7 linked regions of the Xenopus tropicalis genome follow. The protein of the gene in region 1 interacts with the protein of each later gene in a pairwise test. Links are inferred from orthologs where the notes say so. Each region holds a gene or a part of one and is shown in the gene's direction. Other genes may lie near its edges.

The links.
Region 2: the proteins of amotl2 (region 1) and rad51d interact in binary tests that used the Homo sapiens proteins (3 or more experiments, as listed by UniProt). The two-hybrid records come from large-scale screens. The link is inferred for Xenopus tropicalis from reciprocal best matches to the Homo sapiens genes AMOTL2 and RAD51D.
Region 3: the proteins of amotl2 (region 1) and thra interact in binary tests that used the Homo sapiens proteins (3 or more experiments, as listed by UniProt). The two-hybrid records come from large-scale screens. The link is inferred for Xenopus tropicalis from reciprocal best matches to the Homo sapiens genes AMOTL2 and THRA.
Region 4: the proteins of amotl2 (region 1) and smarce1 interact in binary tests that used the Homo sapiens proteins (3 or more experiments, as listed by UniProt). The two-hybrid records come from large-scale screens. The link is inferred for Xenopus tropicalis from reciprocal best matches to the Homo sapiens genes AMOTL2 and SMARCE1.
Region 5: the proteins of amotl2 (region 1) and nfil3 interact in binary tests that used the Homo sapiens proteins (3 or more experiments, as listed by UniProt). The two-hybrid records come from large-scale screens. The link is inferred for Xenopus tropicalis from reciprocal best matches to the Homo sapiens genes AMOTL2 and NFIL3.
Region 6: the proteins of amotl2 (region 1) and gcc1 interact in a two-hybrid assay, tested with the Homo sapiens proteins (2 studies listed by BioGRID and IntAct). The two-hybrid records come from large-scale screens. The link is inferred for Xenopus tropicalis from reciprocal best matches to the Homo sapiens genes AMOTL2 and GCC1.
Region 7: the proteins of amotl2 (region 1) and mfap1 interact in binary tests that used the Homo sapiens proteins (3 or more experiments, as listed by UniProt). The two-hybrid records come from large-scale screens. The link is inferred for Xenopus tropicalis from reciprocal best matches to the Homo sapiens genes AMOTL2 and MFAP1.

What each region holds. Positions count from the first base shown.
Region 1 is NC_030681.2:130,254,009-130,258,274, reverse strand, and holds the start of amotl2 (angiomotin-like protein 2), read left to right. Parts: upstream 1-1,466; 5' UTR 1,467-1,654; intron 1,655-2,961; exon of another isoform or gene 2,962-3,044; intron 3,045-3,246; 5' UTR 3,247-3,326; coding exon 3,327-4,018; intron 4,019-4,266. UniProt on the Homo sapiens protein: Regulates the translocation of phosphorylated SRC to peripheral cell-matrix adhesion sites. Required for proper architecture of actin filaments.
Region 2 is NC_030678.2:94,393,672-94,397,171, reverse strand, and holds part of rad51d (DNA repair protein RAD51 homolog 4), read left to right. Parts: intron 1-251; coding exon 252-313; intron 314-2,848; coding exon 2,849-2,967; intron 2,968-3,500. UniProt on the Homo sapiens protein: Involved in the homologous recombination repair (HRR) pathway of double-stranded DNA breaks arising during DNA replication or induced by DNA-damaging agents. Bind to single-stranded DNA (ssDNA) and has DNA-dependent ATPase activity.
Region 3 is NC_030686.2:9,068,652-9,072,151, reverse strand, and holds part of thra (thyroid hormone receptor alpha), read left to right. Parts: intron 1-1,838; coding exon 1,839-1,985; intron 1,986-3,449; coding exon 3,450-3,500.
Region 4 is NC_030686.2:8,354,895-8,358,394, forward strand, and holds part of smarce1 (SWI/SNF-related matrix-associated actin-dependent regulator of chromatin subfamily E member 1), read left to right. Parts: intron 1-1,826; coding exon 1,827-1,999; intron 2,000-3,500. UniProt on the Homo sapiens protein: Involved in transcriptional activation and repression of select genes by chromatin remodeling (alteration of DNA-nucleosome topology).
Region 5 is NC_030677.2:138,768,826-138,772,373, reverse strand, and holds nfil3 (nuclear factor interleukin-3-regulated protein), read left to right. Parts: upstream 1-1,226; 5' UTR 1,227-1,364; coding exon 1,365-2,753; 3' UTR 2,754-3,048; downstream 3,049-3,548.
Region 6 is NC_030679.2:89,152,956-89,155,707, forward strand, and holds part of gcc1 (GRIP and coiled-coil domain-containing protein 1), read left to right. Parts: intron 1-36; 5' UTR 37-58; coding exon 59-528; intron 529-2,319; coding exon 2,320-2,752. UniProt on the Homo sapiens protein: Probably involved in maintaining Golgi structure.
Region 7 is NC_030679.2:107,684,031-107,686,905, reverse strand, and holds part of mfap1 (microfibrillar-associated protein 1), read left to right. Parts: intron 1-282; coding exon 283-415; intron 416-1,772; coding exon 1,773-1,960; intron 1,961-2,875. UniProt on the Homo sapiens protein: Involved in pre-mRNA splicing as a component of the spliceosome.

The sequences.
Region 1 (4,266 bases):
CCCACAGACCTGCAATCACCCATGGACAGGCAATAAAAAAATTGACAATTAAGAGACTTTTGTGGAAAACTGCATTTGTGAGCCTGAAGGGAGAAAATGCAAAATGAGAAGAAATTAGCACTTAGCTGCAATGTGTTCAGTCTGGGCATACCAGTTATAGCCGTAGAGATAATTGTGGAAAGGTCTGCCATAAACTATGACCTACTGTCATTTATTTTCATCAAAGGGAAACAGATCAGCCCCTTGACGGACAGTAAAGAAGCCCTTCCTGGCCAAGCAGAAAGTGGCTTTTTTTATGTTACAACAGGCTATTTTCTCAGTTGTAAGCTAGGTTCCATGCCAACGAGCACCATAGATCTGTAGCCACTGATATGAGACAATGGCTTAATTGGAATAGCAAGCTGTATAGCCAGTGAATACAATAGCACCTCCTGCGTATAGCATTCTTACCCAACTCTGCTCGGGGTCCGCGGGCATTATCTATTTCTAACAGAGAGTATATGTGCCTGAATATCTGCCAAAATAAAATGTGTAGTGGCTGGCTATGCTTAACGAGGGAATAGTATCAATTTCTGATTCATTTTGATTTTCACCACAATTCAGCATTGTACCCCAGAGTATCACCCAGGGGCATTGCAGAACCCAGTACCACTCAGCGGCCTAGTTGATATGACCCCCACACTTTTAGTTTTTTGCATCGGAGCAGGTCAGGGGGGGATGCATTTCTCTAGCAAATCTGAAATTCCTATTTAAAAATTAGAATATTTGCTCTTGAAGATATACTGGGGGGGGGGGGGGCAAAAATATTTAGTTTTTTGGGTCTGAGCAGGTCAGGGGGGATGCATTTCTCTAGCAGAGCTGCAATTCCTATTTAAAAATTAGAATGTTTGAATGAAGATATATCAGGGGAGGGGGCACAATAGTAACTTGTAGTGTGCAGCTGCCTGAGGTAAATTTCCCAACTGCCCTTATGGCAGCAGCGCCACAACTGCACTGTAATTGTGGGGCAATATTAAATGGTGCCACTTCTGGTGTCATTAAACAGAATCATGGTAAAATTGGCTTGGAGCAAAGTCAGTTGTGTCCATGGAAGCAAGGGGGGGACCAGGAATTACCACAAGCTCTATTTAAAAAAATCTGATCTCTAAGTCTGAAAGATGTACCCAGGCGGTATTCTCGTTTGATGTACAGTTATTATGAGCTTCCGTGCCTGTTATTGTAAGGCAGTGCGGACAGCACAATTAGGCGCCTCATAATTAGCCGCCATTATACAGAAACATGTAATAACAACAGTAATGCGTGCTCTCTGCTAGCGGCTCCAACGCGGGGAGATCTTCCGCCCCCAGCGGCCGCTCACTGGAGTGCAGCCCGGAGGGAAAGTATGAGAGGAGGCGGGCAGAATGCTGAGTGGAGGAGGGAGGGAGAAAGGTTATGTGTGGTTATAGCTTTATCCCAGGGGGAGCCTGAAACTCTCACATTCCGCGCATAGCAAAGCTATTGAAGCACTAGAGCGGCGTGAGTGCTGCGGGATCAGTCTGCTCAGCGCTCTCAGGCAGCACACAGCTCACTGCGCACAGGGAAAGTACGGGCACAGTCGCACCGACACAGTCGCACCGAGAGCCCAGTCTGCTGCGCACACACTGGCTATGCTCGGGTGAGTACGCTCTTTCCTACACTCTGCCCTGCGCTTGCTTTTACCTTTATTTTCTGTTTTTATTTGCGCACTGTATGTACATATCGTACCCCCGGCGCATTACTGCGGTCTGTGAGTCACATGTCTCGCAAGCAGCTAGAATAAGGACAGTTGTTTATTATACATGGGTACCATTGCTACACAGTCTTTCATTAAGCTGGTGTCCCGCAGAACTTGCAATCTAAAAGCTGCTGCTCTAGAATGAATAGAAATACTTCTTGTGTATGTCTGTCTGTATTTATATTCAGTTTCTTGTATATGCAATAATGCTCAATGTAGATAATGTATAATGTTTGTGTTGGTACCTGAGCAACTCCCAGCACCCACAGCTTTAGTCTATGTGCAAACTGTTGTGTTTCTATATATGTATGCATGTGTATATACCGTATGTCTTTGTCTCTATAGACTTATCTATAGAATAAAAGCCCCCAATGACTGGTCATTTGTCACAATGGTATTTATGTAGGGTGCTGTTGGTGCCTGAGAAATTCTGGGGGCCTGTGATGCCTGAGTATTGTATATTCCTTGTGTACAAAGTGTCATCTAAGGGACAACATTTATGTCATTTTAAAGGAGACAAAGGGGGGATTAGCAGGTGTTTTGCCACCTTAGCCATGGCAGCAGCAATCCACCAACTATATTCTATTCTTATTATGATTCTTGTTTTTAGAACGGGCCTGTGTGGGGTAGAGGGAAGGCTGCAATTCACAAAGAATGTCAATTGCAACACAAAGAAGCCAGTGATGTCACTTCTTAGCTATGCTAAAGGTGCTCTCGCCTCCTACGTGCTGGAAAATATTTTCCCGTAAGAGACAAGGGAACGTTCAGGTTTGGCCCTATGTACATACCTATATATATATATAAATATATATATATATATATATATATATATATATATAAATATATTTTAGAAGTTTTAGTGAAAGGGGGAATTTGTTGTGATGGCTATTTATACTAAATCTGCTACAAGGAGTGTTTAACAGCATTAAAAGATTCTTACATGCCGTATTTTTGTTGGTTAGGGATGGAATCCCAGTATTTATTTTCTTTGCTATGGAGGCCTGAAACTAAATAAATACTGGCACTGTTTTTGGTTGTTCAACTTCAACTAGGAAATGTGGAATTCAAGGGGAGGGCTATAAGGCAGAGGCAGCAGGGGGGCATACCATAGATACAGTGGGCTTTATCTACATAGAAAGGGAGGTGTGTGTATATGTGTGGACAGGAGGGGGGGGATTAGTAAAGGGAGGAAATTCCATTCCTCTGATATCCATCACCTCCAAAAAAACAAGCAGTTAATTGCCTAAAAATCAGCAGCTTACAAGTCAATGAAGCTCTATTTCTTAGCAAAGTAAGTAGAACGTGTGTATGTTGTATTGGAAAATCCAGTTAGAATCCTCCAGGGTTCTTTGTTCCTTTGTGAACATGACTTTTAAGCATTGTGAACATTGACTTGATGTTATGATGAGACATAAAACCATCACTGTCACATCCTTCTTGTGTTATTTGGAAGAATTTTGTCTTAAAACATATATTTTTTTCTTGTTCCACAGGCTCTCCCCAACAGTCGAATAGGATTATAATCCATTACTTATATTTTCCACTTGACTGAGGATTTATTTACTTGTTAAGGATGAGAACAGCCGAGGATTCCTCTGGAACGGTTCTACACCGTCTCATTCAGGAGCAACTAAGATATGGGAATCTTAGTGATAACCGTACATTGTTGGCTATCCAGGAGCAGGCTCTGCGGGCTGGAGGTGGCAGTGGAAGTCCCAGATCATCCCTAGAAAGTCTTGAACAGGAAGAGATTCAAATGGCTCCTTCAGCAAGGCAAGAACCCCAAGGCCAGGAGTATCATTGTGACTATTTCTACTTGGAAAACCCCATGTATAAGGCTCATGAATTTCAACACAAAGGCGAGGAATTGCCAACTTATGAAGAAGCCAAAGCGGCACTCTCACAGTACTATGCAGCCCAGAACACCCAGCCAGTGGAACATGGTGGTCATCGGCAAGACCAATCCCTTAAGGATTTGAAACATGGCCATGTCAGGTCCTTAAGTGAACGTCTGCTGCAGATGTCTTTGGAGCGAAATGGTGCCAAGCCTCAAAACCTTATGAGCTCCTCTCATAGCTTCCCACAGCTTTCAAGGCATTACCAGCTATCGGTGGCTCGTGAGCAACAGGAAGATAGGGGACAGTATAGGGGTGCTCCTCCGGAGTACCCTCATTTTAATCAACCAGTACAGGACATACGAGGATACACAACAGAACAAAGGCATTATTCTGGGGAACTGCCTGTATATCACCAGTCTGAAGTCAGGTGAGCACAGACTTCTAACCATACTATGCAAACATCTTCACGATGTAGATGGAATATCTCTACTGTAGGATTGCATTTAAAGTTTACCCTTTAAAACATCTGTCAACTGGAGCATGTTTATTTATAATGGCATGTTGGCTGTAGATCAATATTATGGAATTCCAGCCATCCAGTAGTTATTGTCCACTGGCCAGCCACAGTATTGTAAAGAGTGCGCAAATACGTAATTTATGTACGTAGAGAAGTAT
Region 2 (3,500 bases), on another chromosome or scaffold:
TATATTTAATTGGTTTTGTAACTTTTGTACCCTGCATATTGTCTAACTGTAATTGTGTACAAACAAAAAGACTAGAAATTAGACACATATTAATACCTGTAGACTCTTATTTTTACACCCAGCTTGTTAACATTACAAACTGTTCTTTATTTAATGGAAAACTTTAACATAACTAATACTAAACAATATAAATGATGGAGTTCAATAAGCCAGTCTTGATATTTTTATAATACTTTGTCTCTAACTTTTAGTCATTGATCTGGTTGCTTCTGATTTGGAAGAGCTTGCACGAAAATGCTCCCTGTCATACAAGGTGGTGTATATTTTTTCTTTAAAATTCTCTTAGATTTTGTTTGATTTGCTTATCTAATCTGCATATCTTATTACAAAAATGCAGACTGCTATGTCTCTAAGTAAAATTGCCTGACAGGTACTTGCATGAGTTAATTTAGTTAATTGCCAGAGAAGTCAATGGGGACAATTTGAACAGATTGTAAAGCCTTAGGCAAATTAATTGTAGGGGTATGCTACAGACCTCTTGTGTAAAGGTGCCCATACACCTTAAGATCCGCTCTCTTGGCGATGTCGCCAAGCGAGCGGATCTTCACCCGATATCCCCCACCTACGGGTGGGCGATATCGGGAGAATCCAGGCTAATTCGATCATTTGGCCCTGGGGCCAAATGATCCAATTATTACGGCGGGTATAGGCAAAGTTGGATCCGACTAGATTTTTTAACCTGCCTGACCGAGATCTGCCCGATTTCAGGCCAGATATATAGTGCTCATACACGGGCCGATTAGCTGCCGAATCAGTCTAAAGGGACTGATATCGGCAGCTAGAATCGGACCTTAAGTGAAGAGGCTAAGCTGCTGTTGCAGATATAAAAGGCTGCTAGTTTGGGGCATGAAATGATAACGGGAGAGTTTAACTACCTAGATGTTGACTGGGGCAACAGTACTGTCAGGACAGTTAATGAAAACAAGTTTATAAACTTCTTAATTTACCATTTTATGTAACAGATTGTTAGGATGAAACTGGGAATCATGTTATAATGGGTCTAATGATCTCTAACAACCCAGAACATATAGCAAATGTACAAGTAATATAAACTCTGAGGACCATAACGTTACATCATTTAAAGGGGACCTGTCACCCTAAGAAATAATTACAAATTGTTTTCTATTGTGTTTATCAAGCAAAATAAACTTCAATTACACTTTATAAATTATTTTAAACTTATTTCCTTCAGCACTGGAATTCACAATTGCAGAAAACAGGCAGGCTCCATTTTGTGGACACTGTTATTAAGGCAAGCTGTGTATCCTGCTAAAATCTTGTTTCTGTGCCAGTATGGGGGGACCTGATACATATATCTATGCATTGGTTACACAATTAGATGGTGAGGAGGGAGGGGGAATGTGAGGAGTGCAGTGATATCTAAGAAGTTCTGAATTGAAAGTGAAAGTAACTGTCTGCCCCACCCCTATGCCTAAGGCATAGAGGTGGGTCAGGCAATATATGATTGACAGCTGGGGCTTTAAAATGCTTATATAATGGGTATAGATGTGTTAATAAAAAAATGACTTTGGGTTACGTGTAATTTGAAAAGGGCTTTTATTATACAGCTTTTTATGTCTGGGTGACAGGTCCACTTTAATGTTTATTGCAAAAAATAAATATACATTAGGTCAACAAACACATTAAGATCAGTACCTCAGTGCATAGTTTTATGCTAAAAACTAAGTAATGGTTTTCATTTAAAATGCTGCTAAATCTTTCCTGTTTACTCTTACACAGTAAGAGTATTAAGGACCACCCTATATGGCTTTAATCAGAAGTACGGAAGCTAGTAGGAATAGGTCAGAGGGCAACAATGCTTCTTTTAAAAAATATAACAATTCAACAATTGTTGAAAAACAACAATCAAAAAAGGTAAAGAAAACCAATAAGGGACTGACCAAATTTCAAAGACCAATCCCATACAGGTTAAGACTGGGGCTTCATTAAAAATAGTAATAATTTGGGTAGAAAGGCATAATCAGTTCTTTTTTTCAGTGTATGCGATAGAGAAGTCAGAGTTTCAAGACCCACTTGGCAGAAGTATAAATGGCTCCTAAATTACAGTGTTACTATGTGGACTACTTTGTCTGGCGTCTATTATTGCAGTATTCCTAGATCTACAGTAATTGCTTGCCTTTAACAAGATTCTGTACTAAAAGGTTGCATTAGACTGGGGCCATTAACTAACTGTCAGATTTTTTTTTCCATTTAGACTTTTAGTGCTAAAATTTGCAGGTAAAAAGTTTGTGATTTTCCAAGATTTACTATGCGTCAAAACGGCTAAAAATCTAAATCTAGCAATTCACTAGCTAAAACTTGCCAAGATCATGTAGTCAATGGCATATGTCCCTTCCCTGGATGATCCTTCTTTTGCTTTGAAAGTTTAAAAGTTTGGGATTTTTGATGCTGTTTTTTTGTTTGACAATTTGAAAAAGTTGCAGTATTCATAGGACAAGTCGAAATATTGGGAATTTTCATGACTCTTCTGCAACTTTTCCAATGCAAACTTTTTCAGTTCAGACTTTTTAGAAATGTAAGACAGTGAAAATAAGTTTATTCAAATTTGAAAAAAATGAGGAATGTTAAAGTAAATCTGCCCCCTAGAGCTAAGCAATTATATAATCACAAAGTAATTTGTCCTACACTTCATATACCATGTGTTTTTTTTCCCTTTGTGATGGTTTGCGGGCAAATTGGAAACTTCCAGCTTCTCACCTTAATTAAAGGGAACTAAAAAGAGTCACTCTATTTTAAAAGTGTGTTTAGAATTGTACTGTATTTTCAGACATTAATGGCAGTGAGGCGTGTTCTTCTGGCACAGTACTCTGCATTTCCCTCCAGTGGAGCTGATGTGTATGAAGAGCTTAAGAGTTCCACAGCCATCCTACCCACAGGCAACAGAAAGTAAGATTATGTTCATCTCATAAGCAAAAATGATTAGAAAAGTGTAGTGTCACATTGCTTTGTGCTGAATCTCAAAGCTGCTTATTTTACTAATCCTAAAAAGGTACTAACCATGATCAGTCTTTTGCAGGTCTGTGGTGGGAATGTCTGAACGTCTCACAAATCCTCACAAAAAATAAGATTAAAAAAAAGACTAGCACACACAATACTGAACTAAGTGTGTTTTAACCAGTTTATAAAGTAACAAAAAATTATCATACAAAATTAAGCCTATGACGCACCTGAATTTTTACTGCTATGATGGTCTGAGTATTTGCTTCCCATTCATGAAAGTAAACATCTGTCATAACATTGTCTTTGTAAGGGTTAATCTCTTTAACTCTGTCTGTGCTTCTGTGCACTGTATCTAAGCAGTCACGAACCGGTTCGATTTAATCTGTGCGTCGGCGAAACATCTGATATCATCTGTGCATGTGCGCTGATCAGGGAACTTGTACAAACGATACAACCAGTATGTGTATTGCAAACAAGTT
Region 3 (3,500 bases), on another chromosome or scaffold:
TTACCTGTGCCTGTGTATAGCCCTGCCTTCTATAACCTGCGCCTGTGTATAGCCCTGCCTTCTGTTACCTGTGCCTGTGTATAGCCCTGCCTTCTGTTACCTGTGCCTGTGTATAGCCCTGCCTTCTGTTACCTGTGCCTGTGTATAGCCCTGCCTTCTGTTACCTGTGCCTGTGTATAGCCCTGATTTCTGTTACCTGTGCCTGTGTATAGCCCTGCCTTCTGTTACCTGTGCCTGTGTATAGCCCTGCCTTCTGTTACCTGTGCCTGTGTATAGCCCTGATTTCTGTTACCTGTGCCTGTGTATAGCCCTGCCTTCTGTTACCTGTGCCTGTGTATAGCCCTGCCTTCTGTTACCTGTGCCTGTGTATAGCCCTGATTTCTGTTACCTGTGCCTGTGTATAGCCCTGATTTCTGTTACCTGTGCCTGTGTATAGCCCTGCCTTCTGTTACCTGTGCCTGTGTATAGCCCTGCCTTCTGTTACCTGTGCCTGTGTATAGCCCTGCCTGTTCTGTATGTCCCCCAGCATGTGCTGCCCCCCTGGTGCCTATGATGGTTCAGGTACAGGTGCCTCTCTATGTAGCAGTGCAGCCTGCACTTTCCCACTTAGCTCTATGTGCTGTTAATGGCGCCTCTCAGTACATTCTCCTAATTACCCTTCCCTATTCCCTGCATATATCAGCAGCAATGCATTCCCTCCCAATGCCTCAGTGGTTCTGACAGTACTACATAAATGGCTACCATGATATAATTACCTCTGTGCCGCTCTACATTATTTTGCCACTAGCACCCTCGTCTTTTTTTGTCCTTGATCTCCGCCAATTAGCGAGCCCCTTGTCCGCTGTGCGCTGTAAATAGCTGGAGAAATAACCTGGAAAATAAATTAATATAAAAATACAATCTGACATCTTTGCTAGTTTGTGTGCCTCGGTAAATGCGAAGATAAAGGCGTTTGTATATGTCCAGCCCCAGTGCATTCTGGTCCCCGGCTCTTCATACATTACTGGTATCTATGTGCTAAGCATTCTATGCTGATGCAGGGCTGTCTCTATGGATATGGATCTATATTTCAGGCTATGTCTGCATTGCATTCCCATCACATGGTGCATTAGTCCCGTTAGCCTCCTGTTGGAAGCAGTGCATGTTGGTAACTTTCTATGGGTGCAACATGTCGCTCATTGCCAGGCATCTACCATTATAGTTCTGTATTTTGGTACATTTTTGTGTATTTCGTATGCACCCTGTCCTGCTGATATTTGGCACCCTGTACCCGGGGCACTCATTTTCTTTCTGGGGGCTTTTAACCCTTTATCCTCCCACTTATGTGGCCACAGTATTGCAAGCGGGGCTCTGGGTGACGCAGCCATGTGTGCTTTGCCAGAGAGGGTTAGAAGCAACTGGGAGCAACCGCCTCTCTACTCTCCCCTCCCTTCCTAAGTTACCTCCCCCTGTGTCTCCCTCTCCTCCCCCTGTCACGTGGATTAGACACGCTTTCTATTCCACCGCCACCCATTATATCATATGTGGATTACCAACACCCTCTACTGGAACGTTTAAAGTTCTGCATACGTCTAAAGATAGGCAGATAGACAGACAGAGATAGAAGATAGATAGACAGATAGATGATAGATAGATAGATAGATAGATGATAGATAGATTGATTTGTTTAAAGTTCTGTGTTCACTCATATTCATTCTTTCTTTCTCCTTTGCTATCTTATAATTGGCTTCCATGCTCTCTGTCTCTCCCTCTGTACTGTCTCACCCAGTCTCCACTACTTCTTGAGTAGTTGCCTTCACCACCTCTCTCTCTCTCTCTGTGCCTTCTCCATGTTACAGCCGGAAGATATCGGGCAGTCTCCCATGGCTTCCATGCCAGATGGGGATAAAGTTGACTTGGAGGCTTTCAGTGAGTTCACCAAAATAATAACCCCAGCAATTACGAGAGTGGTGGACTTTGCTAAGAAGCTGCCCATGTTCTCTGAGGTGAGTGTGCGACACAGAAGAGCAAGTGACCGTATACATCACATAATATATAAGTACCTGTACCTAAATGTTCAGAATACGGATTGTATATGTCCCGCTTCCCACATATACAGTTTGAATATGGCTTTATTGATGGCATTTCCTTTTTTATACCTCACTGATCATGTTTGACCTTTTCATTTTCTCTTTTTCTTCAAGCATGAAATGCCTACCCCCCTTTGTACTGAATCTTCCTTACCGACCCCCCCCCCCCCTGCATGTTTCTCCTCACCCACCCTCTTTCCACCCCACCAGTGACATTTCTTTCCAGTTTATCCTTCCACTAAATGTTCTTCCCCAACCACTCTACCCCCCTCACTGAATGGCCCTCCCTCCCCACTCAGCCCTCCAGTGAATGTTCCACCTTACCCAGCTTTTCATTAAATGTTCCGCCCCAGATAGCCATCTATTATGTGTTCTTCCTCAACTGCCCTTTCATTAAATGTTCCATGCATTTACCCTTACAAGGAATGACCTCGCCATTCACATAGGTACATATTCCCACACACTATACACACACTGAATTTCTGTAACAAAGCCTCCATGTCCTACACACACCTACCCAATATACCTCTCACTTTTTCAATTTTCTTCATACAGTATAGGATCTATTATCCAAAAACCCGAAAGGCCCTGATTTCAGCATTCCCTTTGCCCACAGGATCCTTTTTAAGGACTATACCCTCAGAATGAATACTTAGCCAACAGATAGTGTGGCCCATTAAAGAATCTACCAAACTAGACTATATATCAGTAAATATTGCCCTTTTACATCCTTTCCCTTGAGCTGCCATTTTGTGCTGGTCTGTATACTCACTCAGAGATCACATACTACTAAAAAGTATATTTTCATGAAAATGGTTTATTTAGAGCTACTTTATGCAATATATATTTATAGAGACAAACATTGTTTGTGAGTATAGTTTTCCTTTACACTAACAATGCATTTTGACTCATTTGCCTTTTCTACATTGTACTTAATAACTAATAACTGGTCCTGTTTTCTAAATGTTAGTATGACATGGCATGCCATTGTAAAAGAAGGACCAGTAATCTGAAGAACACCAGGTCCAATGCATTCCGAATAATAGATCTCATACCTCTACCCAACCAGTTGGTCTCCCCTTTGCCACAGATACATATAATGTATAATTTTATTCCCCCCCTGACTCACTGCTCACCCAACCGGTGGGGGACAGCAGTTGGGGAACAGGTCTGGACTGGCAGGGCCCACTTGGTTTTCCCCAGTGGGCCCTGCCTTTACAATTACTTGGCGCACTCAGGAACCTTCATGCATTTCTGTGCTAAATTCCCCTTTTCTCCTTGTTATTAGAAAGGTCCCTTCCCCCTGCATCATGGTTCCTCCTGCTCCTTATAATCAGTGCCTTTCTTCTACATTCAAAAATATGTCCCCTGTCCCACCAGCTGCCTTGTGAAGATCAGATCATCCTGTTGAAAGGATGCTGTATGGAGATC
Region 4 (3,500 bases), on another chromosome or scaffold:
ACTTTCTGGATAACCGCTCCAATGTCTGTATTATAAAGGAGAGATAAATCTCAATCTAAGAATAGGTAGAATTTGTGGGTCACCTGTTTAAAAGCAAGCATCTTATTGGTTGCTATGGGTTACTGCTTCTGGGCAAACTTAGTGCTTTTTATTACATATGGGGGTTAAAGTCCTGTCAGTTAGAGCTCTAAGCAGTCCCCAATAGCCTCAGTTGTCAGAGGGGCACATGAGTCAGTAGCTGGGAGTTGCAGCGCATATTTTTGTCGCCAGTAGAATGCCGGGCACTCGCCCTGAGTAAATCTAACAGCTGGCACATTTTGACTCGGGAATGTTGTGATTACACAGGTATAATTTCTAGGCGTTATCTTTATTCAAGCAGAGCGTGTTCCTGCGTGTTACCAAACACTTTAATTGCAGCGTCCTTAATAGTCCTTGTTTGTCTGACTATAACTCCGTGTCAGCAACGTGATCCGGCTCAGTATGGAACCTAGCAATGTTCCTCACTGCCTTCGTTTTATTTACCCTTTATATATTGAATAGAAATCTAAATAGGGCTGTTCTGCCCCCAATAAGGGGTAATTATATCTTAGTTGGGATCAAGTACAGGTACTGTTTTATTATTACAGAGAAAAGGGAATCATTTAACCATGAAATAAACCCAATAGGGCTGTTCTGCCCCAATAAGGGGTAATTATATCTTAGTTGGGATCAAGTACAGGTACTGTTTTATTATTACAGAGAAAAGGGAATCATTTAACCATGAAATAAACCCAATAGGGCTGTTCTGCCCCAATAAGGGGTAATTATATCTTAGTTGGGATCAAGTACAGGTACTGTTTTATTATTACAGAGAAAAGGGAATCATTTAACCATGAAATAAACCCCAATAGGGCTGTTCTGCCCCCAATAAGGGGTAATTATATCTTAGTTGGGATCAAGTACAGGTACTGTTTTATTATTACAGAGAAAAGGGAATCATTTAACCATGAAATAAACCCAATAGGGCTGTTCTGCCCCCAATAAGGGGTAATTATATCTTAGTTGGGATCAAGTACAGGTACTGTTTTATTATTACAGAGAAAAGGGAATCATTTAACCATTAAATAAACCCAATAGGGCTGTTCTGCCCCCAATAAGGGGTAATTATATCTTAGTTGGGATCAAGTACAGGTACTGTTTTATTATTACAGAGAAAATGGAATCATTTAACCATTAAATAAACCCAATAGGGCTGTTCTGCCCCCAATAAGGGGTAATTATATCTTAGTTGGGATCAAGTACAGGTACTGTTTTATTATTACAGAGAAAAGGGAATCATTTAACCATGAAATAAACCCAATAGGGCTGTTCTGCCCCCAATAAGGGGTAATTATATCTTAGTTGGGATCAAGTACAGGTACTGTTTTATTGGAAATCATTTAAAAAAAAATTAGAATTATTTGATTATAGTGGAGCCTTTCTGTAATTCAGAGCTTCCTGAACAATGGGTTTCCAGATGATAGAATGTATTTTGTTTGTACCAGCTATGGAGGAACTAGGGAGGGGCCGGGGTCATATATATGCCCCCAATCATTACAGACCAAACACTTTGATGTGTATTTATCAGAGCACATCTCTCTCTCTGGTTTTTAGGGTGAGCGCTGCCTTTTAATGAGAATCTTTCCATCTGTCTTTCAAACCACTGTAGTTGCTAGGGTAAGCACTACCCTAGTGACGGCTAACTGAGCTGGGAGCTTTGGACCCATAGCCTTTTGGGCTGAACCATTTCTCACTAACATTCCCCTGCAGCTTCAGACCCTGAACTTCTCCCTTACTGTCCCCCCCAGATTATGACGATGGTTTCTCCATGAAGCACAGCGCCGCTGCCCGTTTCCAGAGGAACCACCGGCTCATCAGTGAAATTCTCAGCGAGAGCGTGGTGCCCGACGTCCGCTCCGTGGTCACGACCGCTCGAATGCAGGTTCTGAAAAGACAAGTTCAGTCTCTCATGGTGCACCAGGTAAGGAAATTACATTTCTATTGGTTTCACTGCAGTTTGTTTGATTTGGCCTTTAATATCAGGGGAAGCAGTTTTGCATTACGTGCCTTTGGTGCTAAATGAAGGTGAATGCATTTAGTGCTGAACAGGTGGGGCCCCCCACTGTCAGTACTGCTGAACAGATGGGGGGGCCCCTACTTTCAGTACTGCTGAACAGATGGGGGGCCCCTACTTTCAGTACTGCTGAACAGATGGGGCCCCCTACTTTCAGTACTGCTGAACAGATGGGGCCCCCTACTTTCAGTACTGCTGAACAGATGGGTACTGCTGAACAGATGGGCCCTACTTTGTACTTTCAGCTGGCTGCTGGGGCCCCTACAGTACTGCCAGATGGGGCCCCTACTTTCAGTACTGCTGAACATGGGCCCCTACTTTCATACTGCTGACAGACAGGGCCCCCTACTTTCAGTATGATGGGGCCCCCTACTTTCAGTACAGATGGGCCCCCTACTTTCACTGCTGAACAGATGGGCCCCCTACTTTCAGTACTACTTTCAGTACTGCTGAACAGATGGGGCCCCTACTTCAGTACTGCTGAACAGATGGGGCCCCCCTCAGTACTGCTGGACAGATGCCCCCTACTTTCATACTGCTGGGGGCCCTACTTTCAGTACTGCTAACAGAGGGGGCCCCTACTTCAGTACTGCTGACAGATGGGGGCCCCCTACTTTCAGTACTGCTGAACAGATGGGGCCCCCTACTTTCAGTACTGCTGAACAGATGGGGGCCCCTACTTTCAGTACTGCTGAACAGATGGGGCCCCCTACTTTCAGTACTGCTGAGCAGATGGGGCCCCCTACTTTCAGTACTGCTGAACAGATGGGGCCCCCTACTTTCAGTACTGCCGAACAGATGGGGCCCCCTACTTTCAGTACTGCTGAGCAGATGGGGGCCCCTACTTTCAGTACTGCTGAGCAGATGGGGGCCCCCTACTTTCAGTACTGCTGAGCAGATGGGGGCCCCCTACTTTCAGTACTGCTGAGCAGATGGGGTGCCCCTACTTTCAGTACTGCTGAGCAGATGGGGTGCCCCTACTTTCAGTACTGCTGAGCAGATGGGGGGCCCCTACTTTAGAACCTTTGGGTGTAGAAGGGCTCTAATTCCAGGTGTTACATTAGGCATGCCCTTTCTTTTATTAGTAAACCTGTCTCTCCACTCTGTGTCACAACTAGAAACAGGGCAGAAGCGAGCCGCTCCCTTGGGTGTAGTCTGCGTGCACATAATTAACCCAAAGCCCATTGCTCCAAAATAAGCAACTCATTTCAAGATGAGAACACTCCTGTGAGTTTGTTTCCACAGTCCCAGTTACCAGCCCGTGTGTCCCTTTGTCAGAGGGCAAATAAACTGCCGCAGCAATTGCAAACATCTGGACAAAACAAAGACTCCAATAAAACTAGGTTTTTAGTATATCCTTATTAATTTCAGAAATATCTTGATAAATAAATAAATATACATTTAGAAA
Region 5 (3,548 bases), on another chromosome or scaffold:
TGAGTCAAAATGTGATTTTTCTTTTGAATTTTTGTGTTGAGTTTGGGATACATTTGGATATTGTTGCTTGATTTGCCTTTTAAATCTGGGGGCTGTGTCCCAATTACTTTGGCCCTTTTTGACTGGCCACTGAAGATCCTTTAATTTTTTGATAAAGTGTAAATAGTTTCAAGAATATCTAGGACAACAAATACATTTCCACCCAATTTTCTGACCTTCAGCTGGGTTTTCAGGGGTGTCAAAAAAAAGCAAATAACCATTCTTTCCAATTCTCCCCTAACTGCCTGATGCAATTGGCATATAAATCCACTTCATTGCCAAGAATTGAGGTAGACTGGCTGTATTCTCATGTGACCTGTTCCCATCCTTCCCATGACCTAAATGTATATACAGTATTATATTTATATTTGTAGGCAGCTTTATAATCCAGCACTGCGGAATATTTTGGCGCTTTATAAATAAATGTTAATAATAATAATAGGACTGCATGGATTGTAAGCGTGTAAAGTAAGAAACATCTGTAGACCGGCCTCGCTAGTTGTGGAATGTTACAGTTATGTTCTTTTTTATTTTGTAACCCTTGTTTGTTAAATTATTGTTGATTGTTATAAATCACCCTTAATTTTTCTATATCTTTTTAATACATTTGTTTACACTGGTTTTGTTTTAAAGGAGGGATTATTTATAGTTGGCTGAGTTTACAATATATGGAGTTTTTTAAGTCGTAGGGGATTTTCTCTTACCGCATGTTTTTCCATTTCTTTTTCAGTTTTTAGTACTAATTAATCATTTAGGTCTTTGTTCCTCTTGCTCCCTGCAATTTCAGACAAAAGCCATGCAATGTCACAAGCAGAAAGCCCTAAGTAGTAAAAAAATCTCTTTTCATGACGTAATTATTTTTCCAGATCATTGTAGTATATGAACCACAGACAGGACTTTTAGAACATGGTTTGTAAGATTGCAGAAGTGCATGTAATTGTGGTTATATTAGCAAACCAATAGTTCTGCAAATCTCAGAGGAATTCAACCATGTGACCTTTGGTGCACTGTAAATGAGGTCTTTACTGAGATATAAAACATAGAATTACCTTAATGTTCTTTCTAATGCTGACTTTTATGGTTACCTTCAATACTAGTTTTCTGTTTCCTAATAGTATGTAAACACAACTTAATTATTTATTCTTTAATTCCAGGTCAAATTTTTGTTCCTGAGCATATAACGGAAATGGTTACAACCTGGCTGTCATGAGGCCATGAAGGAAATATTACCAGCAGATGGAATTTAATCTAATTACAAGCTTCAAGTTGACGTGAAATTGCTCTTTTTAGGAGCTGCAGAAGGTTTCTAACTCCACTTCCTTCTCATGCAGCTGAGAAAAATGCCAACCATTAAAAGAGAGCAGGAATGTGCAGATTCACGCAACAATATGGAAAATATTCTTGTTCTTAGTTCAAACATACCAGACATGTCAGAATCCATGGACTCCAGCAATGATATGTTGTACAGCGAAGGGGCACCAGCGAAAAACAAAAACTCCTCATGTCGGAGGAAAAGGGAATTTATCCCAGATGAAAAGAAAGATGCTATGTACTGGGAAAAAAGACGGAAAAACAATGAAGCTGCAAAAAGGTCGAGAGAAAAACGGAGATTAAATGACATGGTTTTGGAAAATAAACTTATTGCACTAGGAGAGGAGAATGCCAGTCTGAAAACAGAACTGCTGTCTTTAAAACTTAAATTTGGCTTGATTAGTTCTGCTTCCTATGCCCAAGAAATACAAAAGGTCACAACCTCCACTGCTATGTATTTTCAGGAATACTCATCTTCCAAACCAAATGTAATGTCGTATAACAGTGATCATGAACATTCTGTAATGACCAGCAGTTGTATTTCAGTTATCAAGCACTCCCCACAAAGCTCTCTGTCTGATGTGTCTGAGGCATCATCCGTGGAGCATGTTCAGCCGAGCACTGTCCAGAGCAACTGCAGAAGTACTGATATAAACTTCCAAAGAATTAAACAGGAACCTATGGAAAGGGAGAACTTTTCTAGAGATGCCAGAGAAGACAGTAACACTTTCCAAGGCTCTATATATACCAATTATATTGGAAACACATTTTCTGGGTATTCACATTCTCCTCCACTTCTTCACATAAACAGATCGTCGAGTAACTCTCCGAGAACATCAGAAGCAGATGAAGGTGTGGTAGGAAAGACGTCTGATGGTGAGGATGAACAGCAGGTTCCTAAAGGTCCCATTCATTCCCCAGTTGAACTTAAAAACGGGCACACGACAATCATAAAGGTTCCAGAAGTGAACTCCTCTGCATTACCTCACAAGCTCCGCATAAAAGCAAAGGCTATGCAGATTAAAGTAGAAGCACTGGAAAGCGAACTTAATAGCACTCAAAAACTGACCCTGCCAATTGATATGTCCTCAAAGCGGCACTTACAGCTGGAAAAACACAACAGTGAAACCATGGTACATTCTTCTTTGTCACCTTTATCAGTTCAAGTAACTAATATACAGGACTGGCCACTAAAACCAGGTCAGTGGCACCACAGGGAACTTGATAAAATTCCAAGTGTTTGTAAAACATCTGGGATTGTGGATATAAAAGACAATGTCTTCAAAGCCTCTGAGTCAGAGAGCTTATATTTAAAGCAAGGTATTGCAAATCTATCTGCTGAGGTTGCAACCCTTAAAAGACTTATAGTAACCCAGGAAATCTGTGCATCCAATTCCAGTTAAAAGTACTACTGATTTTTTCATGATATGCATATTGTAAAGATTGTAGTTTGCAGTAAATTGGTATGTTTTGTATAATGCTCAGTTTTCACTGGTATTGTGACGTCATTTCACTGTACTGTTCAAGTAATGATGTCTACTTAATATTGTCCTTTTTTGTGCACAACTGTGTTATGATCACTATGCCTTGTGTACAGATAGGTAGCCAATGCAAGGCTGTAAATATCTTTAAACATTATTTTTGCCAGTCTGTTATAAATTGTGAAAGTTACCAGTTAAATAAAGTATTGGTGAAAAATATGTGCCTCGGGTTTGTATTAGAAATTTATTAGACACAAATAATAATGTTTGCGCTTTGGGATCCGCAACTATATTGCCAATGTTCTTCTTTACATCAGACTCCAGCATCCACTATGAAAGAAGCTGATAGAAACATGTTAATGTAATGACCGCATTACTAATGCAATTATTGTCATTGTTATCATCAGAAACTTATATTCAAGTAAGAGCTTAATAGCTCCCAGACCAATACCTTTTGTAGCTTGAGACCAGGTATTCAAGTCACCCCAAATCCCCATCCCCTAGGGCAGCTCCATGAATGCCAGTGTTCAGGCTCTTTCAAAGAGCTGTCACTCAGATATGTGGCTATTGCCCATGTGGGCATGGCGGACACATGTGGAGGCCCATTTATCAAAATTCAAACTTTTGTACTTTTTGTGGACTGCTCTCCCATGAAAAAACTCACAAATTAAAAAAGCACGAATGTTGACTTATTTATTTAAAGATCCGAATATAAAA
Region 6 (2,752 bases), on another chromosome or scaffold:
ACTCCCTCTTTTCTTCTACTTTTATATAAAAATCAGAATGCTAAGCTGATCTGTTACCATGGAGAAATTAGGCATGAGTTTTGGAGGTGGCCCAAGTAAGAAGGAACTTCAGGAGCAGGTAGAAACTCAACGGAAGCAACTACAACAGTACCAGGGTCGACTGAAGGATGTTGTGCGAGCATACAAGAGTCTTCAGAAAGAAAAGGAGGCCCTTGAGGCCAGTCTCCATGTACTTTCCACTACTCAGGAGCCAGGCACTCTTTTCTCAGAATCTGAAGAGGCACATGATGACCAACATTCCATACACAGTGAGGATAGTGTGGACACAGCAGGTAGTCTTCCCAGTGCTAGAGGAGGTGAGACGAGTGAGGATGAGAGACCAGATCCTTCTCAACGAGGTGGAATAGAGGAGGCCAGTGGTTCAGAGAGTGGGGTCAGCACTGCCAGTGGAGAGGGAGGTCAAGCCACAGCAGTTGAGACTGACCGTAAGATGGTGCAGCTGAAAAACCAGCTTTCTACACTAACTAGGTATGTAACTTAAATAGGTTGTTCCCCTTATTACACTTAATTTATTAATTTTTTAAATTTGTGACATACAAAGTTTGTTTATATTAAAGATAAAGGGCTAAGTGTCAAACAAACAAAACCATGTAACAACCCCTTTAACTGTGTTTTAAAGGAGAACGAAAGGCTAAGTCACCTGGGGGTGCCCAAATGTTAGGCATCCCCAAGTGACTTAGATCGCTTACCTTGTACCCTGGGATGGTGCCCCTGTTAGGAGAAAAAAGCACCAGCCCAGGGTACCTGTAGGAAGCGCTTCCTCCTTCCTCTTTCTTCTCCCAGTGAAATCCGTCGGCCGGTGCATGCGCAGTAGAGTAAAAAGCCGACTTTGTTTTTAAGTTCGGCTTTTCACTCTACTGCGCATGCACGCGCAAGCGAATAGGAAGTAGGAAGCGCTCGCTGCTACCCCGGGCTGGTGCTGTTCTCTCTGTACAGGGGCACCAGCCCGGGGTAAAAGGTAAGCGATCTAAGTCACTTGGGGGTACCTAACATTTTGGCACCCCAAGTGACTCAGCCTTTCCTTCTCCTTTAAATATAGAAAGAACTCAAGGAACAGTTTAGCTTGTTTATGCATATCATATGTATGTTTATGAAAAATTAAGAGGAATGAAAATATGATGGAAATAATGCTTTATATAAACAAAGCTGCTGCTGTGTAGCAGTGGGGGATATCTATCGTTTAAATTAACTAGTAGTGTTTCTAAAGCAAACGCACAATTGTTACCAGTGCATGTTTCTTTAACCTTTTTTCTCAAGTGACGAAAAATTAGTTTGAAGAACCAGCTTCATGACTAAAATTGGTTTAGAATTATATACATTGTTTTGCTGACTATTTTCTACTGTAGCAGTATATCCAACTTTATTCACTGTTATCACACAGATCAATCTTGAACAGTGTGAGGCTCCATATTTGGGTCCCAAGCCATTGGTTAAAATCATTTATTTTATATTTGTACTCTGAGTAGGTGGATTCCCAGCATATATGTTTGGCATGTAACTTCTAAATACAGGGATACCAAGCATATAAATATATACATTAAGCATATATTTGTGTAGAGGTAACAAACATAGACTCAAATCTATTTCAATGCATGTTTCTTTTTTTTTTTTTTTTTTTTTTTTTTACTATATTCAAATTAAACAGTCTGTCAACTATTTTCCTGCCTCACAGTGGCATATATATTTGCTTACCTTTTCCCTTAACAGCAGGTTAAAGTTTAAATCCTTTGTATCTTATGAAAAAAATAAGCTTTTTGGCGTTTTAGCAGCTATCTGGCTGCTAAGGTGCAATTTTACCAAATAACCAGACAGTGCTTTGAATGTGAGACTGTAAGAAGAACAGGACAGGAACAATAGTGTTTTTTTGGCCAACAGGGTCAGTGACCCCCATTTCAAAGCCTATAGAAAATGCAGACAAGTTGAAAAGTTGCTAAGAATTAGACATATCTAAAAAATATACTAACATTAAACATAAGGGTAAACTACCAATTTAAGTATATTAACTCATGCATCTAGTACTCCATGTTATACAAAACACGTGACTTTTGATATAATAAACAAATACTGTATATTTTTGGTGCCCGGGCAGTTGTAACAACCTGTGTTTTTCATATTTTTGTTCAAAAATGTAATTGGTTAGTAGTAATAGGTATTTGACTTTATTTTTACTTTATACTGAGGCTAAAAAAAAAATATTTCTTTAAGTCTTGTTATGAGGTTTTTTTTCTTTTTTTTTTTTTTTTTTCTTTAAACTTATAGTGCTCTGGCAACAGTTACACAAGAAAAATCTCGCATGGAGGCTTCTTATCAAGCAGATAAGAGGAATGCAAAGCAGGAAATGGAGGAGTTGATGCTGAGTTTTGTGCAAGAGAGGACCAAATTGCAGGAAGAAATTCAGAGCATTCAGGAGCAACTTGCAGAGACCAAGGCCAGATTAATTAGCCAGCAACATGACCGTGCTCAGGAGCAAACAGACCATGTCATTATGCTAAAAGAGCTTCAGCGACTCTTGCAAGGAGAACGAGACCACCGTCAGGAAGCAGAACTCCGACTGGAGGAAGCAAGACAAGAGCTAGCAGGCAAGCTAGCAGGAATATCTGAGCTAGAAGGAAGGTCTGAGGTAGCAGAAGAGCAAAACAGAAAGCTGCGTAAAGATCTTGAGGAACTGAGAAAGGAGATAATGGAAGCTAGA
Region 7 (2,875 bases), on another chromosome or scaffold:
TGCAAACAAAGCAAAGTGGATGACAAATCTTGTGGGATATTACACAATACCACTATGCAGCTGAACACATATGTTTTAAGTTGTTATGAACGTGCTACGGGTTGCAGTAAAATGTCTTTCCTCTGCAATTTGCAGGGAAGCAGGTAGTAACAGGCTTCTTTGCATTTCTGCAGATGTTGTGCCCTATTTTTTTTTTTTTTTTTATTAATACAGTATAAGGTGCAAAGCCATGGGGCAATCGGGTGACACTTTTCTGACACAAAAAATGCTTTCTTTGTACAGGTTGGCCAGGCACCGGAAGATTATTGAGCCTGAAGTAGTTGGGGAAAGTGAATCTGAGCCTGAGCCAGCAGAGGATTGGCGCATGGATCGAGAGGACACTAGTGAGGAGGAAGAGGAAGAAGTAGATGATGAGGTAATCTATGATATAACCTTGCCAAATAACCTATGTTATAATAAAGTACATTCAGTTCTAATTAAAACTGAAGGACTATTTTCAATTTCATTTTTCATTTCTGTTTCTGCTTGTTATGGGCAAGAATGATTTTTAGTAAAATTATACTAGCTAGAGTAAGATCTACTAATGGCTTAGAAAACGTGTTGTTGAAATAAATGCAACAAAACCATGTTTCTCTTGGTATAATGCATTGAAGTCACCTTTTCTATGGCAAACTATAACCTAATGCAGTTCTGTCCAACTTCTGTGGCACCGAGGGCCGGAATTTTTCTGGCCTCTGTGGTGGAGGGCCGCTAATGGAAGCTAGTTTTGGCCACTCCCCTTTTTAAAACCACACCCACTTGAAACCACACCCATGTTATCGCATAACCATAGCCATATTAATGGTGGTAGTACAGCAAAAACCTGCCATACTCTGCCTTCCCTACCCTGCCTGTGTATGCCATACTCTGTATGCCCTATGCTGCCTGTGTGTGCCATACTCTGCCTTCTCTACCCTGCCTGTGTGTGCGATACTCTTCCTTCCCTACCCTGCCTGTGTGTGTGGCACACACAGGCAGCATAGGGCAGGCAGAGTATGGCAAACACAGGCAGCCTACAGTGACACAATGCTGCCACTGCTCCTACAGTCTGCACAATAACTATATATTAAAAAACTTTTTAATTGCAGTACCACCTCAGTATATGTTCTTTTTATAGTGTGCAGGGTTTATTTTTGGGTGTGAACAGGTGAACAATGTGGGTGATTACAGCCTGAGCCTGAGGTGTGAACAATGCATGGGAAGAACAATGTAGGGATTAAAAGGTGTGAACAACACAGGGGATTACATTTTTAAACAATACAGGGGGTTTACAGCCTGAATCTGAGTTGTTAACCATGAAGGGGGCCAGTACTGATACCATTTAAAGCTTACACAAAGTTAAGTTATCAAAGCAGCCAGACAGGTGGGGGGCCACACAGAGGGGGGTCGCGGGCCGCCAGTTGGACAGCACTGACCTAATGTGTTAGACCTTGATTTGATAACTACACTGAAAGACTCTGCACTGGGTTATTTTGCCCACTGCTGTCTTAGACCATTGACTTACATTTTTCTACGGGTCACAATATATAATTGGTAGTAAGTGAAATAATTTCATAAAAATAAGATTGGGTATACTTGTTACCAAGGCTAGAAATATTCTTTCTTCTGGGCTTAATAAGAACAGTCTGTTTTACATCCCATTTACCAAATGTATAGTTCCATGGTTGTCCATTTGTCATGTCAGTGGTTCCTGTTGATTCCAAAAATATTTTTGTTGCTCGCTTTGTAATCAGGAAATAGAGCGGCGCCGTTCCATGATGCGTCAAAGAGCTGAAGAGAGAAAAAACGATGAAATGGAAGTGATGGAGGTAGAGGATGAGGGCAGATCAGGGGAAGAATCGGAATCCGAGTCTGAATATGAAGAATACACTGACAGTGAAGATGAAATGGAACCGCGACTCAAGCCTGTGTTTATCCGAAAGTAAGTGGTTTTCTAGTATGCCTTAAATGTGGGTTCACCTTTAAATTGACTTTTATTATGATTCAAAGAATGCCATGCTAAGTCCATTTGCATTTGGTCACTATGTATTACTGGTTTTATGTTGCTATTTTATAGCCCATCCTTTTGACATGTTAACTGCTATCTGGTTGAGGTTTTGACTTACACAAATTACAGTGATGTGAGGGGCATGCTAGATGATGATTAAGAGATTTAAATTGCTAATTGTGCATTTTTGCAGGATACATTTTATATGAAGAACAGAGTGCCGCACACACAGGATCTTAAAAAAGAACAAAAAATCTTTATTAATCCATTTTAATGGATTGGATTAATAAAGATTTTGTGTTCTTTTTTAAGTCCCTGTGTGTGCAGCACTCTGTTCTTCGTTTACATAAACTTCTGGCCAGCACCTGGGGCAGTTGATTGTTAATTATAATTAATTTTCTTAGGCTTGGTTTCTCTAGCCCAAGGCACAGCTTCTGCCTGTGTTGTCTCAACTGTGACATTTGACTTGCGGTATGGCAAAGACCAGAAAGCCTTGCAAAGTAGCACCAGCAAGTTGTGCAGTGTTCTGCAGTGTCCTATATATAAAGTTGGGTTATAGAATAAAAATGGGATCGGAGGACCCTAGCCTCAAGAGCTTACAATCTTAAGGCCATACTTCCAAAATCCCTGTTGTTTAAAAACTGTCTGATTTTAAAGTATATTAAAATATAAGCAGGCTTAGGACTTCCCTTTAATTTCAATTGTATCGGGAAATTTTATTTGTAGAAATCACATTTTTTCTTTTTTCTTTAGACCCCTAACACCCCCTTTGTGTTTCAGCATTTATTCATTTAGTTCATAGCAAGATCAGTAGTACAAGTCACAATTACTGTAATGTACGTTCTCCCA